Linked DNA regions of Macaca mulatta. The protein of the gene in region 1 purifies or fractionates together with the protein of each later gene. This does not show direct contact. Links are inferred from orthologs where the notes say so. Each region holds a gene or a part of one and is shown on either strand. Other genes may lie near its edges.

The links.
Region 2: the proteins of MOS (region 1) and FKBP5 purify together in Homo sapiens (affinity purification with mass spectrometry; 3 studies listed by BioGRID and IntAct, counting the BioPlex papers as one, with this or other methods). This does not show direct contact. The link is inferred for Macaca mulatta from reciprocal best matches to the Homo sapiens genes MOS and FKBP5.

Annotation. Positions count from the first base shown.
Region 1 is NC_133413.1:66,759,122-66,762,316, reverse strand, and holds MOS (proto-oncogene serine/threonine-protein kinase mos), read left to right. Parts: upstream 1-1,514; coding exon 1,515-2,555; downstream 2,556-3,195.
Region 2 is NC_133409.1:146,649,522-146,653,345, forward strand, and holds part of FKBP5 (peptidyl-prolyl cis-trans isomerase FKBP5), read left to right. Parts: intron 1-2,248; coding exon 2,249-2,391; intron 2,392-3,311; coding exon 3,312-3,426; intron 3,427-3,824. UniProt on the Homo sapiens protein: Immunophilin protein with PPIase and co-chaperone activities. Component of unligated steroid receptors heterocomplexes through interaction with heat-shock protein 90 (HSP90).

The DNA.
Region 1 (3,195 bases):
TCTCCTGACCTCATGATCCACCTGCCTCGGCCTCCCAAAATGCTGGGATTACAGGCGTGAGCCACCGTGCCAGGCTACCATTTGATTTTTTTAAAATATCCTAACGTGTGTGTGTGTGTGTGCGCGCGTGTTTCTCATGAATATGGTATTATTGGTCCTTTTTCCAAAGATATGGTATGAAAAATAATTTTTTGCTTAGAGTCAGAGTCTTGCTCTATCATCCAGCCGGGTGTGCAGTGGCACGATCATAGCTCACTGCAGCTTCAAACTCCTCAGTTCAAGTCTCCTCCCGCCCCAGCCTCCAAAGTAGCTAGGACTACAGGAGTGCGCCACCACACTCAGCTAACTTTATTATTATTTTTTGTAGAGGCAGGTCTCAAATTCTTGGCCTCAAGTGGTCCTTCCACCTCAGCCTCCTAAAGCACTGGGATTATAGGCATGACTCACTGCACTTGGTAGAAAATTAATTTTCATTATAAAAATCAGAAAGGAAGAACTTGTTGTTTGATGGCCAATACCCTGAATTTCATTCCAACTTCTGGTTTTCTACATTATATGTAGGTACTAGTGATTTTGTGCCATTTTTATTTCTTCAGATTTTTCCTCTTCTACAATTCTCCCATATGTGTTATTATTTGAAGCCCTGATCACAGCTCTGAATCATTCTGTTCTTTTTTCTCCTCCAACTCTGATTCAAAACTTCTGTAACTCGTTCACTGCAAAGCCTAGAATCTCTCTTGCAAGTGAGCTGACCGGGTGGGCCAAATCGCCTTGAAAGGGAAGGATTGTTACAAAGTCAGTATGTTGCTAAGACGTCTTGCTAATTTGCTGTGTAAGTTGCATAGACTGTCAGGGGATTCTCCTTTCCACTGATGAATTTAGGTGTGTGTTATGACCTGTATCAGTGATTCTATTTGGATTCATTAACGTTGCAATTTTTTATCCATATGAATGCTGCACCTAGTTTTTCCCTGTAATTGATTAAACAAATGTCTGCTGTTTGCATTTCAACTCTCAGCCAATAACTGCTGGAAGTGATTTAATGCAGCTGGAGAATGACACTAACAATCATTATAGCCTGCAAAGTGTGAAACAATTTCATTGTGCTTTGTGGTCTCTTTAGTCTGAGGACTGATAATGTGCAGCGGATGTGACTTGAAAAAAAGTATTTCATTATAGTTAAACAAATAATGTAAAAGAGGGGTGAGTTCTGGGGCAGCTCCATGCTGTTTATCTGGCATGAGCTTGTTTTTATAAGAATTCACTTCAAGTGTGGAAGGGAAATGCTTTCATCTGAAAGGGACTGCTGTGCTTCATTCCGGTTTCTCCCTCCATCTGATAAAAACTCTTGCTGAGTGACAGCACAGATGTAGCTCATTTGAAACAAATGAAGGAAAAGGAGAAAAGGGATAGGGGTGGAGCCAAGGAGTAGTCAGTCATGTTTCCAAAGTCCCGCGGTTTCCCCTGGTCTTTTCATTCACCCCAGCGGCCCTGGTGTCCCCCTGCAAAGTGCGATGCCCTCGCCCCTGGCCCTACGCCCCTACCTCCCCAGCGAGTTTTCCCCGTCGGTGGACGCCCGGCCCTGCAGCAGTCCCTCAGAGCTCCCTGCGAAGCTGCTTCTGGGGGCCACTCCTCCTCGGGCCCCGCGGCTGCCGCGCCGGCTGGCTTGGTGCTCCATTGACTGGGAGCAGGTGTGCTTGCTGCAGAGGCTGGGAGCCGGAGGGTTTGGCTCGGTGTACAAGGCGACTTACCACGGTGTTCCTGTGGCCATAAAGCAAGTGAACAAGTGCACTAAGAACCGACTAGCATCTCGGCGGAGTTTCTGGGCTGAGCTCAACGTAGCAAGGCTGCGCCACGATAACATCGTGCGCGTGGTGGCTGCCAGCACGCGCACGCCCGCGGGGTCCAACAGCCTAGGGACCATCATCATGGAGTTCGGTGGCAACGTCACTTTACACCAAGTCATCTACGGCGCCGCCGGCCACCCTGAGGGGGACGCGGGGGAGCCTCACTGCAGCACTGGAGGACCGTTAACTTTGGGAAAGTGTCTCAAGTACTCCCTAGATGTTGTGAACGGCCTGCTCTTCCTCCACTCGCAAAGCATTGTGCACTTGGACCTGAAGCCCGCGAACATCTTGATCAGTGAGCAGGATGTCTGTAAAATTAGTGACTTCGGTTGCTCTGAGAAGTTGGAAGATCTGCTGTGCTTCCAGACACCCCTTTACCCCCTTGGAGGCACATACACCCACCGCGCCCCGGAACTCCTGAAAGGAGAGGGAGTGACGCCCAAAGCCGACATTTATTCCTTTGCCATCACTCTCTGGCAAATGACTACCAAGCAGGCGCCCTATTCGGGGGAGCGGCAGCACATACTGTACGCAGTGGTGGCCTACGACCTGCGCCCGTCCCTCTCCGCTGCCGTCTTCCAGGACTCGCTCCCCGGGCAGCGCCTTGGGGACGTCATCCGGCGCTGCTGGAGACCCAGCGCGGCGCAGAGGCCGAGCGCGCGGCTGCTTTTGGTGGATCTCACCTCTTTGAAAGCTGAATTCGGCTGACTGAAAACCTGCGTCAAGATAAGCTTGTGTCTGTTTCTGTTTGTTTTTAAAGGAAGTGGAGATGTCGAAGAAAACATATTTGTGGGATGGAGTTTTAGAAAATAAAGTTACTAAAAACTCCTTTAGTCTCCAATGCTTTTTCTACGACACATAGCAAAGCCACAAATCTAGTACCTGTTGTCTCAGTACTGTTAGTAACTAATCTTATTCAGATAAGATTAGTGCTTGTGCTTTGCCCTCCATTGATAGTATTTCATTTATTCAAATTTGTTACTGATAAAACACTTTGTCCAAAACAGAACTCCACTGCAGAAATGTCAAAATTTTCTATAAATCCATATATATCCCATACCTACCACATAAATTCCAACTATTAACAGTGTACTTGCTCCCACACCAAATCAGTAAAAACTTTTTAAAAAATAAGTAATGCTTTCCTACTACTCCCCCCAGTAAAACTTCTTGTTTGTAATGACCTTCACACATAAAAGTCATACACTGAGGTACATTTACAGTCAAAGGAATTATAACTGACTTATTGTAATATTTTTAACTTGTGCAATGCAATGAGTAGAGACATTTTACTAAAACACTTCTAAACTGGGTCATTTTTACCTGGTACTGGGACTCAGAAGTAGAA
Region 2 (3,824 bases), on another chromosome or scaffold:
TTTTTTTTTGTAAGAGACAGGGTCTCGCTGTGTCACCTAGGCTGGAGTGCAGTGACATAATCATTGCTCACTGTAGCCTCTTACTCGTGGGCTCAAGCTATTCTCCTGTCTTAACCTCCAAAGTATCTGGAACTACAAGCATGTGCCACCATGCTGCACTAATTTTTTAAATTTTTGTAGAGAAGGAGTTTCACTGTGTTGCCCTGGCCGGTCTTAAAACTCTTGGGCTCAAGTGGATGCTCCCACTTGGCCTCCCAAAATGCTGAGATTACAGGTATGAGCCACTGTTCCTGGCCACTTAACATATATTTTTAACTGAAATAAATGTAGCTTACATTTGGAAAAGTTGTAATATTTAATGAAGATTAAGCTAAAATCATGAATGACAAATGGTTTATCCATCCCTGCTTACATACGGTTATGTAGGGTTTCACTTGTCCTAATATCCTACCACCAGCTCACTTCAAATTCACTTCCTCTGGGGTTCATCTCTTATCTGATCCCACTTTGAATACTTACATTTTTGTTTTTGTTTTTTGAGACAGGACAGGGTCTCACTCTGCTGCCCAGGCTGGAGTGCAGTGGCATGATCTCAGCTCACTGAAACCTCGACCTCCTGGGCTCAAGCAATCCTCCCTCTTCAGCCTCCTGAGTAGCTGGCAAGCACCACCACGCCTGGCTCATTTTTTCAATATTTTTTTGTGGAGATGGGGTTTCACCATGTTGCCTGGGCTGGTCTCAAACTCCTGAGCTCAAGAGATCTGCCCACCTTGGCCTCCCAAAGTGCTGGGATTACAGGCGTGAGCCAACGTGCCCAACCCCCAGATACTTAATGTTTTTGATTAACAAAGTACCTCATTTGTAATGTAGCCTTTTTTTTTTTTTTTTTTTTTTTTTTGGGACAGTGTCTTGCCGTGTTGCCCAGGCTGGAGTGCAGTGGCATGATCTCTACTCACTGCAACCTCTGCCTTCCAGGTTCAAGTGATTCTCCTCCCTCAGCCTCCCAAGTAGTTGGGATTACAGGCACATACCACCATGCCTGGCTAATTTTTGTATTTTTAGTAGAGACGGGGTTTCACCATGTTGGCCAGGCTGGTCTTGAACTCCTGGCCTCAAGTGATCCACCCGCCTTGGCCTCCTAAAGTGCCAGGATTACAGGCGTGAGCCACTATGCCCCACCAAAATGTAATTAGCCTTTTAAATTGCCTGAATTTTCTATTGTTTCCCAAAGGACTTGATACTGCTTACAGTAAGATAATGATGCACATCATAGGAACTGTAAACATTGAGATTACAATTATATAGCCTAATATAGTCCTACAATTGAGCAGTAAATTTAACTTAGTTTCCTGGAAGTAGGCAAAAAATAAAACATTTTAAGTTCTGTAGTTGTGGTTTGACAAAAAGACACATACGTTTTTGTTTAAAGAAACCTTTTTCTGATTCTAAATTTCGAGAAGAAATGTGTTTCATAGACCCTTTTATGCAATTTATATTGTTCTGGTTACTTCTTGTTTTGTTTTGTTTTGTTTTTGTCTACCCAACTAAATTACAAGCTTCCTTAGGACAAACTCTATTTTTCAATACTATTTTTGTTCTATCTTTGCCTAGAAAATGTGTGCTTATTATAGTTGAAATGATAAATTAAGCAACAGTTGCAACACAGCCATATTTCATGGATAATGTTACCACCAGTTTTCAAAGACTTAATTTTTGAGTAGTTTAGGAATTTATACTACTTTCATCCCTTTCAGCAGGGAATCCTTTTTGAGACAGGTCTCACTGTCACCCAGCCTAGAGTGCAGTGGCATAATCTTGACTCACTGAAGCCTCAACCTCCTGGGCTCCCGGGCTTAAGCAGTCCTCCCACCACAGCCTCTGGAGTAGCTGGGACTATAGGTGTGCACCACTATACCCAGCTGTGTTCCTTGGGGGTTTTTTTTGTTGTTTTTTTTTAAGAGATGAGGTCTTGCTATGTTGCCCAGGCTGGTCTCAAACTCCTGGACTCAAGCGATCCTCCCACATCAGCCTCCCAAAGTGCTGGGCCGATCAACAGGGAATCTTTTATGATAGCCTTGAAATAAATAAATATTTATTTATTTGTATGTAGCACTCGGTCATCTTGTAGCCCATACTTTCTAGCTGAATATGTAGTATGAAAAACTGGAAATTTGAACTTTTGTTTAATGAAAGTTAAATATTTTTAAATAGGGCTGATAGCTTTCAACTACCTTTTCCTTTCTCTTAGGCCAAGTTATCAAGGCATGGGACATTGGGGTGGCTACCATGAAGAAAGGAGAGATATGCCATTTACTGTGCAAACCAGAATATGCATATGGCTCAGCTGGCAGTCTCCCTAAAATTCCCTCGAATGCAACTCTCTTTTTTGAGGCAAGTATGTGTGTGATGTTGCCTTGTCAGCATCTGCTCTACAATAGGAATGGCTTTGAAGCAACAGGCAGTGGGAAAAGGAGCTATAGAGAATCACATCCAACTTACTTATTTTGGAGCATGGCTTCTTGGATTGTTTCCCACAAACCCAAGGGTGCACGTGCCAGTGCTTTTTGAGAAACGTATTTCCACCACAAAAAGGTCATATCCAAATACGCAAAAGACACTACACTTAGAAATAAAGAATCTGGTCCATGGTGTGAGTGTGACATACTCAAAATTGACCAGAATGCAGGATGGAAATGTTGGCAATAAATGTTGAAATATGCCTATGTCAAGTTGCAGGGTATTTTCATATTATAAAGGTTTATATGTCACAGATCTCACTTCTCTAGAAGTGTTTGATGGTGATAAAACATTATTCAACCTGTGTTGAAATTACATATATTTGGCAAAACTTGATTTTTAAGAACTACCCCAGCTAGGTAAAATATACCTTTAATCAGTCATAGGCCACATTCATGAAATTTATGTTTACATTTTGAGAAGGGAACTCCATAAATCCAGGGTGGGAAAGTTGTGGCCTCAGACAAACTGTTCTACACCAGCACCTTGTAAAGCTCTGGGTTTTTGCCCACAGGGTAGTGTTCCTAGTATTTCCTGTCTCTGCACCGCAGTCCCTTAGGATATAGTCCTAGACATTATCATTATGTGAAATTCTTTCCAAGTATGGAAAAGTATAGTGGGTTTTTTTTTTTTTTTTTTTGCTACTTTTCCAATAATTAAGATGCATAAATGAATGTATACATTTTGAAACAGCTTTATTTTGTAAAATGAAATAATTGGTTGCCCTTGCCTTCACATATGTTAAATTGGCTTTATTTGGTCTTTTCTCATCTGAATTCCTTTTTTCTTTCTAGATTGAGCTCCTTGATTTCAAAGGAGAGGACTTATTTGAAGATGGAGGCATTATCCGGAGAACCAAACGGAAAGGAGAGGGATATTCAAATCCAAACGAAGGAGCAACAGTAGAAAGTAAGTATTAAAGTAAGAGGGAACTAGTCCTTAAAAGTTGGACCATTTATGTGGACGAAATGGAGACTTAAAAAAAATATGTTTATGGAAATGAACATATCGGCTGGGCGTGGTGACTCACGCCTTTAATCCCAGCACTTTGGGAGGTGGAGGCGGGCGGATTGCCTGAGCTCAGGAGTTTGAGACCAGCCTGGCCAGCATGGCGAAACCCCATCTCTACTAAAAATACAAAAAACTAGCCAGACGTGGTGGTGCATGCCTGTAATCCCAGCTCCTTGGGAGACTGATGCACAAGAATCACTTGAACCGGGGAGGTGGGGGTTGCAGTGAGCCAAGATGGTGCTACTGCACTCCAGCCTGGGTGACAGAGCGAGACTCTGCCTCAGAAAAAAAAAAAG